Xenopus tropicalis: one gene and its partners. The protein of the gene in region 3 interacts with the protein of the main gene of each other region in a pairwise test. Links are inferred from orthologs where the notes say so. Each region holds a gene or a part of one and is shown on either strand. Other genes may lie near its edges.

What was found.
Region 1: the proteins of otx1 (region 3) and rgs17 interact in binary tests that used the Homo sapiens proteins (3 or more experiments, as listed by UniProt). The two-hybrid records come from large-scale screens. The link is inferred for Xenopus tropicalis from reciprocal best matches to the Homo sapiens genes OTX1 and RGS17.
Region 2: the proteins of otx1 (region 3) and tns2 interact in binary tests that used the Homo sapiens proteins (3 or more experiments, as listed by UniProt). The two-hybrid records come from large-scale screens. The link is inferred for Xenopus tropicalis from reciprocal best matches to the Homo sapiens genes OTX1 and TNS2.

What each region holds. Positions count from the first base shown.
Region 1 is NC_030681.2:43,009,873-43,013,531, forward strand, and holds part of rgs17 (regulator of G-protein signaling 17), read right to left. Parts: intron 1,029-3,659; 5' UTR 1,009-1,028; coding exon 890-1,008; intron 1-889. UniProt on the Homo sapiens protein: Regulates G protein-coupled receptor signaling cascades, including signaling via muscarinic acetylcholine receptor CHRM2 and dopamine receptor DRD2.
Region 2 is NC_030678.2:147,566,999-147,570,657, forward strand, and holds part of tns2 (tensin-2), read right to left. Parts: coding exon 2,897-3,659; intron 1-2,896. UniProt on the Homo sapiens protein: Tyrosine-protein phosphatase which regulates cell motility, proliferation and muscle-response to insulin. Phosphatase activity is mediated by binding to phosphatidylinositol-3,4,5-triphosphate (PtdIns(3,4,5)P3) via the SH2 domain.
Region 3 is NC_030681.2:32,913,609-32,916,498, forward strand, and holds part of otx1 (homeobox protein OTX1), read right to left. Parts: intron 1,540-2,890; coding exon 1,388-1,539; intron 1-1,387. UniProt on the Homo sapiens protein: Probably plays a role in the development of the brain and the sense organs. Can bind to the BCD target sequence (BTS): 5'-TCTAATCCC-3'.

The sequences.
Region 1 (3,659 bases), about 10 Mb from region 3:
GGGACTGTCCAGAAGTTTTGTACTAGGCGCATGTGTGGGGCCCTAAATTAATAACTTGTACAATTCTGATGGCAGCCCCGATGACAGCACCGTCTTATGTGCTACTGAGTATGGCTGGACCACACACTTTGACTTGAATACAGGACCATTCCTGCCATGAGGCAAGGTGAGAATGGCAAAAATCTGCCTCTGGTTACTTTAAGAAGCGATTTTTCATTTTTTTTAAAATGAAAATTCAGCTCTCTAGATTAATAGGGCTCTCTGCACTTCTGAACCTGCTCTGACACTAAAGTTGTCAGCTTGGGGCAGGAGAATAGGGGTGGCTTGGGGTTGCTTCCTCAGACAGAATATGGGGTTGGTAACCCCTAATCCAGGGAGAGAAGCCCTAAGGGTGTGCATTGATTTTAAAAATGAATACAAATAAAAGGAGTTAATCCTACTATATCAATTTATTTAGAAAAGTGTGTCTTTTGCAAAGTTCTACCACTTTGGTATGTATTTTAAATAAAAAGATTTCTGATGCAGAAAACCTGACATGTATTTGGAAAAGGTGTTAAAAGAAGTGTATAATACAAACAAGGGTAATACAGAGAACTATTAGTAACACAGCCATGTGCAGCATACAGATGTAGCAGAACATCTGCACCCTTTGGACCATACAGCAAGCTATCAAGTTCAGAAGACAATGAGGTTTGAGTCATCTGCATGCAAATACAACACTGAACCAACAAAAAGACATATTTGTTTTTAACAATATAACCCACTTCACAGCCAGGTTAGCTGCCTTAATTCAGACAATGACTTGTAAAACATTAAGTCACTGACCATGAGTCTTACATTTATTATTTACCTGCATTGGATATGGTACCAAATAGACTGTATGACATACCATGAGCAGCTGCAACAACAGCACCAACAAAAGCAGCATGTGTTTGGCCTTTGATTCCCACCAGGAGCTTGAGACACTGTCGAGATTTCTTCATTTTGTGCCTGCTGCCTCTTTCTCATCTCAGCAATGTCCACAGTGGCTACAAAAAGACAGCAGACAGAAAGGCTAAATGGAACACACATGAAGCAGAAGATTTTCAGTACTTATAAATAGAAATAAGTCATGGGTAAAACCAAAGTCTACTGTGGATGGCAGGACATTGTTCCCAAATTGTGTACAGGCTCCGAGCGACCGCAGACATTCAAAGGGCTTGGTTTCTGGCTTATTTACATAGTGGCTGCATGATTCCTAAGGCTGGTGTTTTAAACATTGGTCTATTTTCAGCTGACAGAAACTGACCCTACCATTTCCCATTTACTTGAATGGGAAGTGCCTGACAACATCAATATCGGTGCTTTTTAGCCAGAAGATATTTTTCTAGAGAGTTGGAAAAATCTTGTTTAAGCACCTGCTGCCCAATTTTGTCTGGAAACTTGTCAGTGTGTATTTTCAGGTTAGAATTGCCTGGCAGTTTTGTTTGTGCCAGCTTGGTTTTATGCTCAGTAGATCTTTCCATATGTAATTGCCTTCTATAAAGAGGTTAGCAGAAACCTACCTTGGGGATGCAGAGATCTACTTAGATTTTGCCACTATTTCTTCATTAACTGATTAAATTAAGGAATATTGGTCTTAAACATAATATTTGTATGGACTGAAAGATAGATTACAAAGCTTGGTGGTAAATGGAATGGGTTGGACCAGTGTTGTTAGTGGAGTAATGAAGGGATCTGGTCATAGCGCTTTGCTTTTAATTTTTTTATGAATGACCTAGAAGCTGTCACTATAAATATTGTTTCTATTTTGATCATACTAAATTGTGCAAGGTTTAGAGCGCAACTACTTACCAGGCAAAGTGTGTAAAGTGTAGTTTTCGATCAGAATTCAGAATATTTTCCCCCACATTGTAGCACTAGCCACTGTGTGGATGCACACAGTATTGCATTTACCAACATAACTCAGTTGCAGCAATATATTGAGGACTGGTAATTTCCAGTATGCCTTAAAAAAGGTACTGGAGTCTAGCAAGCTTGTAGTGCCTGGCACAACCTGCTGTGGGATGCCACTTGGGCACTATTTTATGTAATTGCCAGTAAATTTGTAATATCCTGTAATTTAGCTTCTGGCCCACCCACCTAAGCTCTCACCCACCCCAATTTAACCTTTTTCCTTCCCCGATCTCCCCTCAATCTCCTCTCTAGATTCTAGCACCATGGCCCCGCCCCTTATGACTTCTACGCCCCTGCCACACTTCCATTGACATCGTTACCTGCCCACTATTGCCACCGCCCCCCAGCCTGCCAATAAAATTAATTTCAAGGTGGCAACCCTAGCTGCACTCTTCCCCCAAGTTTTAAAATGTGCACTTGCACACCATTCCTTAGTAGGGCAGGATGCAACAGAAGTGTGTTTGGCCCACAGTACCTTTAGCAGCAATATGTGCAATCCATTATGTCCATTTAAGCAATCCTAAAATAGCTGTACACAGGACATTGCTGCTTTGCTGAGAGATTTAAAAAAGTTGGAGCACTGGGCAGCAATCTGGCTAATAAGGTTAAACACTAATGCAAGGTTATGCATGTGGCTAAATCAAAATGAATGCTAGTTATACACTATATAAATTGTGTTGGGGGCTTTGTTAATTGAGAAGCATTTGAGGATTTTTGTGGATAAAAAACTGAGCAACTCTAGGTAGCGTTACTTAGTTAGGATAATGGGCACAAGCCACCATGTTTTTTGTATATTTTGCACTGCTCTCTACAAATAAAAATTGAATGAATACAGCATTGCCTGTGCTTGGCAGCACTGTATTCATGAAAGGAAGGGAGAGGAATGTAGGCCTACTATTACAATAAATACATTCAAAATTATATACCTACCTGAACTGCTATATAGCCTACACAATATCCCTCACTCTATACCCAAATCTTGGTACCATTCATTTAGAACAATAATTCCTGAGTCCAATTGAACTATGTAAATTGATGGGTCTGTTCAGAATTAAGATAATCCTTATACAATGTTTTAGCATCAATAATTTAGCATTAATAAGTGGGATTAGTGGGGCCTCACTCCATTTCCCACTTTGTGCCAACTTACTTTTGTCCCATTTTAAAAATCCTCCTAAGCTATTGTTACTGACCCACTAAAGGCATCAAGATGATGTTAGACTTCACTTAAATTCCCCAGTTTCCCTTCACTCAATCAAACAAAAGTTATCACAAGGGACCCAATCTATTACGCCTCTTATGAAAGAGAGATATAAGCTGTTTCTTAAAAAAATTAAAATCAGTGCTGTTGTAAGAAGTACACCAACCTGCCATTACTTCAAGCATATTATGGGATGTTGCATGGCCAGAGCTGCATTGTATATATGTGCCGAGGCAGACACATGATTCATGCAATTAATCTGGAACTGCAAAATACTGCTCAGAAGTGACTAACCTTATTTACCCAATGTTGAAAGTCACAATGGAAACTAAAGAATTTAGCACAGAAAATAGAACAGGTGACCAGTATTATAATGCCATTCGCAGAAAAGGTTAGTGCTGTAAGCAAAGAGTTAAAGGAAAATTATAACCTCCAGAAATTTAGGTCTCTACAAAAATATACTGTATAAAGCATGTAAATCCCTGCTTAATGTAAATAAAGCATTTGCAAAATATACCTTTTT
Region 2 (3,659 bases), on a different chromosome or scaffold from region 3:
TTGCTATTAGAAATATACAGTCTCATTTTTACAGAGTTCCTTTTCCTTTAAGGGCCATTTATAAGGACGTTTACAGCTTATTCATAACTCTTGTCCATATTGTGGATTTGCCATTTGTCCTGAGCACAAATGATTAGGAATCCCCTGAATAGACGCACTATTAGAGATAAATGAGAAAGGATTAGGCCACAGTGCAGGTAGGAGCACTTGTGCAGGAGAGGCCACTCTGTAACAGAACTGAACTCAGAGGCTTCATTCCATGATATTAGGGATGAAGGTGATTTATTGTTCCCACAGAGAGAAACATCAGGCAAATACTCAGTTTCTTTTAACAATAATAATTATAATGATTACGAGAAACTTGAACAAAATGTTGTCTTTGTGCGTTTTGGTTTCTCTCGGAGCACAAAGAATAAATAAATAGCAGTATTGTGGGGTGGCAGGGAGACAGGATTCTCTGTTAGTTGGGAAACTGCTTTACCACAGAGCCGATTAGCAGTCTCAGGTCACGCCTATTCCATGTGCATCCTGATTGTGGCTCCAACACTCACCAACACAGGCCAGAAGTAAAGGGCAACTAACTATAATTTCAGGAGAATTTTTAGACAGTAGCAGTACCTGAGGCTGAAGCCATGTGTACCAATGATTTGCAGCAGGGCGCTGGAACTTTCATTTGGTGCCACACGTATGACTTTCCCAGAAGCCACTCTCGGGTCACCTGGCACTGTCTAGCTTGCTAACAAAATAAAAAAATATTTGCAATATAGTTAGTTGGGCAAAAATGTAATCTATAAAGGGTGGGAGTGAGCAGATGTCTAACATAATAGCCAGAACTCTACTTCCTGCTTTCAGCTCCTAACCTCTTAGTTAGTCAGTGACTTTAGGGGGGGGCACATGGGCCATAACTGTTCAGTTAGTTTGTGAGCACGCAGGTCAGATTCAAATGCAAAATAACCAAACAGTTATGTCCCATATGGCCCCCCCATCAAGTCACTGATTGGCTACTGACTGCTAACAGATTAGAGAGCTGTAAAGGAGTAAGTAGAGTTCTGGCTATTATGTTATACATCTGCCCACTCAAGCCTCTATAGATTACATTTTTGCCTAATTATATTGAAAATATTTTTATTTTGTGCAGTCTGTCTATTTTAGCCAGTTTCATTTTTATACTAAACTGTTCCTTTAAAGGGCCAGGCAGCCTGGGGAAGGGAATGCGCTGAGAGTACATACAAATGACCCTTACTTAGGCTGTGGTTAAAAATTTGCACCATACTGATAAAGTATCATATCTATTTGAAAATACCTTTAGTTTTCCTGGTAGGGCTTTTGGGCGGCTGGCCCTGGCCCTGGATCCATAGAGTAGCCACCTGGTCGGCACTTTACCAGCCTTGTCAATAAATATAACTTTTGATGCCAATACATTGTTAGGAAAGAATGATAACAGCCAAGAAAGGCCAGTGTTTTTTCCAGAAAATTCCAGAAATGAGGGGCCATCTACTTCCCATAGGCACAGTGCAATGTGCACTTCCAGACGCATTAACCATTTCCTTTAACCCATAATGCTAAATTTTCCAATGATTCGAGAGTAACTGTGGTTGCCATGGAAAGACGCACCTGACGGACTTGCTGCGAATGATTTAAGACGCGCTTGCGCTTTGACAGGAACTGGATGCAATTGCTCTGGAATTTTCTGGCAGATCTCATATTGCCTTCAGAGTGACGCGTGCAACACTTTCTTTAGGCACAACTGTGATGCGCAAACTGACACAGGCCATTGTGGGAACTGTAGGGATACCCTCTGGTTCAGAGACAGAAGTAGCGCCAACATTCCCACATTGGTCTGCGGCAATAGGCGCAACAGGAGGAAAGTAGCAGCAACAAGTGCAACTATGAGGAAGTGCAAGGGGTGCATATTGACGCTATTTGAAGTAGCTTTTATCATTGGGATTTTCCAGGCAACTAAATAAAGACAGAATAAAGACAGAATATCCCATCAGTGCCACTCATGCCGTAAAGTGAAATTAAAATGTGCATCAGGTTGCAGTGTGCAGCACTTTAGCCTCGTAACTCTGTTTCAGCTCTTCTAGTACAGAGAGCACAAGTGCACTGGCAGAAAAGGTATGCACGGGGTAGTGTCGTTGAGTTGCCAGCCTCAGGGGACATTTTCAAAATGCATTTTGACCTTTCCCATAGATCTCAAGTGATTTCTATTTAGTAATACTTAACATGCAGAATCATGAGGAGAAAGGAGATGGAGCAAATGGTTTCTCATTATTACTGGCCATACTAAATCAGCACTACTCCACTCCTTGTTTACCAGTCCCCATAATGAAAGCCAGACCCTCTGACAGTGGAAATAAATGATCCATATATAACCATTGTTTCCAGTTACATCAGGGCTTACTTGTGCAGCTGCTAGATTCTGAGGGTGGGGGGCTACACATTATTACATCATGGGCTTTACCACATAACATTCCTCTTATGTAGTAGTAACGCCCCTCTGTTATACACTGATATTGATAAGATGAGCATAGTATGTAAAGCATTTTACATATGCATTGGTTTACTTTACCCGGAATAAGAGACAACTGATTAAAGCTGTTCTGGCGCCCTGATTCTTGGGCAGGGGTGTTCAACCTGCCACCCTCCAGCTGTAACTGGACTGCATCTCCTAGTTCCTATAGACAGCTGAAGGCTAGAGTGCCACCCATTTCACCCAAAAGTAACAACGGTAGGAGTTTATGGATATATTTACAATTGGAGTCCTGCTTTGACATGTTTAAGCCAAAGGTGCAATTACCATACCACTAAGGTGTCGGTAATGCCAAAGTGACTAATAACTTGTCCAAAAGCACAATATCATTGAATTGTCTGTATCATTGGCTGTAATACTCACCTTCCGGTTGCTGTTGTTCCACAGATGTGAGTTCACTGACACTGCTTGCAGAGATTGTGTCACCGCTCATTCTTCTGGGAGCAGAGAGATTGGCAGGAGATATAGAGCCAGAAGGAGGAGACTGACCTCTTGGTGGGCTATATGGGGATATGGAATTAGGAAATGAGTGGGGACCATAGCCATTAGGTGGGCAATGAGGAGGGAGGTAAGACGGATTTAGAAAATGTGGATATGTATGTCCATAGCCACCTTCTGTGAAATGGTTAAAATGCAGTGGTTCTTCTCCATGTGAAGGTGGATAGCCATACAGCATCTTTGTTTGAGGGACTTGGAAAGGATGTGGGAAATCATGGTTGATTTGAACACTCTGTCCAAAAGGCTGAGGAATATGCAATGGCAGCTCCCCACGGTGAAATGGCTGCATGTTAGTTACAGGGTAGCAGGCCGAGTTCTGACAATGAGAGCAGGGGCATACTGGTGTAAAAAGAGGTTCATGTGGAGGAGGCTGGCAAATGTATGGCCGTGTATCCCTCAAACTGCCTCTCTTTGGTGGACTATGTGCATGAGCTGGGTAATGCTGTGGTCCCTCAGATAAAGAGCGAAACAATCTCCTTCTTTCTTGTTCTCCATACATTCCTGGATAATGAGCAGTTTGCAGAATAACCCCAGCCCCTGTCCCCCCTCGAGAGTCAATAATGCCTTCTGGCCTGAAGTAAGATCTGTTTGGCGGTCCCTCAATATTTGGACCCGAGTACCCCAGCCT
Region 3 (2,890 bases):
TCTACATAGACACACAATACTGCAGTCATTTGTACTTATTTCCTAAATTTGACTCTAGCCCTAGCAACCAGATAGCAGTTCAATTACCCTAGCAACCAGCCAGCAGATTCAAAGTCCAAGCCTGACAAAAACTGGGACCAATTCATACCAAATGGCACTGCCTACATCATATTAAATGTTAATTTCATGGGAAACTACGGCTTCAAAACTTTCGATTTTGTCCGGTAAACTCATCTGTACTCGGTTAGCTGGGGCTGCTGGGAATAAATATCACACAGGACACATTTAAGATGGCACCCCTAACCCAACTCACTTAATTCTCTTACAAATAATGTCTTTTACATCCAAATACCAAAATAGAATTTAAACGGAGAACACGCCATTGTGGTCTATTCCTACATAATTCTACTGCACTGAATACAGAAAATGGCGGTGGATAAGCCGACTAGGCCCCTTTCTGCTAAGTTGGGATCTACCCCTGAATGGAGCCACGCCCAGCACTCGGGAGCTACAGGTTTTAGCCCCACCCCTCTCATTCTGGCGGGAAAGCGCACTAGTGTTGCCCCTGCTGCTGCTGCTGCCTAGGGGAAGGGCCCTGTGCTGTTCGTACCTTATAAAGCTCCCAGTCAGAAACCCGATCCGGCAATTAAAATAGCTCAGTAATCCAGGAAAGGACAGTTTCATTAAGACACACAATACCTGCACGACTGGCACACACAGCTGGTAACAATGCGGAGATCCACCCACACGATCCAGCAGGGTTCAGCAGGACACCCCCGGATCGTGTGCTACAATGGTTTGATCGTATTGCATAAAACTCAAGCGCAGGGCTCGGTGCTCCCCACAGTGCGGGGTTAGTTTGCTATTGGGGCCGCAACTACAGGAATGAAATGTGCAGCGGGGAGCCCTGCCCGGCTTTGGGGCAGAATAATATTACACCCAGTATTGTACTTTATCGGCTCAGCACAATCCCAAAAAGTATCCGTAATATATTATGGCAACCCAATGAAAGGCAGCAGTAACTGACTAAATAGGTTTCATTAGCATTAAGCAACACGGAGTATCTGTGTTTTTATTGAGAAGTACCTGCTTCTCGCACTCACTCTCCTCAGGCTCTAAATGGTAACAGCGCCCCTAGTGGCCGGATTAACACTGACTGGTAGGAATGAACGCAGGCGATTTTGCGCACCTTGGACTAACCAATCCGTGTAACACGATTGCTGCCTGTTGGGTGCCATGTCCCAAGGCCCTTTCCTTCTTTATCATTGTCACCCAGTCCCTATAAAGCCACTAAACTGCCCCTGGGTGCTGAGCAGTAGAAAGCCGTGTATGATGGGAGACTAGGGACTAGCAGAGATAAGGCGCAGTTCAGAAGTTGGCCCCATACCTGGACTCTAGATTCCGGCAGGTTGATCTTTAGTGCGACTTCTTCGCGCATGAATATGTCCGGGTAGCGAGTCTTGGCGAACAGGGCCTCCAGCACATCCAGCTGCGAGCGGGTAAAGGTGGTGCGCTCTCTGCGCTGCTTCCGCGGAGTTGCTGGGGGGACAGCGACACGGTCAGTCATTGGCCAATAGCAATTGTACCCACTGTCACCCTGTATAACAGCCCCAGCCGCCACCACTAACACCATTTTCTTGGGACCCTGACACACTGAGCCATACTAAATGTTATTTGGGGGGTGATCTTAAAATGCTGTTTCCCTTCATACCTGGCAGCTCAGGTTGCACCAACACCAAGCAAAGATTTGTTTTCTCTTATATATGGAATATTCCTGTATGCATTGTAATAATACCCCGTGTGTGCGTGTGTAAAATATTACTGTGTGTATTGTAATGCCAGTGTGTGTGTGTATTGTAATGCCAGTGTGTGTATTGCATTACCCCATGTGCCTGTATTAGATTACTGGTTATTTCATCCACTCACATACATACATGGCTGGGGGGTGAGGAAGGATTGTTTTGCCTTTATATTTACACAGGCTATCAAGGTTAAAGGAGGATGCAACTCATAAAATACATTTTTCCTAATTAAAAAGAAATGGCAATTCTAAATCAACATTCCAGTAAACATTGAAACTCTTCAGATTTCCTAATTAAAGCAATTACTATTTCTCTCTTCTATTCCCTTCCCGGTGGTTCTGACTTTTGAAACAATGTTAACACCAGCCAACTGGTAACACACCTGTGTAGAAACACGCACATTGTGCTACATTGTTTCAAGAGACACCAGCAAAACTACTTTCAATGGCAATTACATTTCCAAATAATAATTATAAAACAAAACAAAACAAAAAAAACAAAAAAAGAGGAAAAGAAACCAATGCGACTTTTTAACGAATTAATTTCGGAAAGTTTCGTGGGTATTTGTTTCTTTCCCATAAGGCAAAATATTTTTGGTTTGTACCCCGTTTAAATTTAGAAATACTCTGTCAAAAATAAATTCCTAATTGGATCTGATATAAGGAGCAAGAGAATTGGAGGGGGTCAATTCCCCACTATGTGACTGAGAATGTAGCTTCAATGTTCCCATTCCCTAATGGATTATATTCACACAGTTATAGAAATTGTGTATTTAAAATTTGTAATTGTATTTTTGCGGAGCCAGAGCAAAACGCATGTGTGAAAGTTAGTCCCCCCCCATTCTCTGGGTGCCGAACAAATAAATACGAGGTTTCCTTGCACCACTAATTGTTATAAATGTTTATACATATATGTATAAAATATTATATTTTATAAAATCGAATAGAATTTGCGCTGCACTTCTGGGCGAACCTACAGGGAATATTCCTGCCATACAGCTGGAAGTCTGTAGTGCAACTGCAGCCCGCAACCACTCACTGGCACAGGATTCCCAGCACATATGGGCAGAAAACGTTTAAACAGGATTG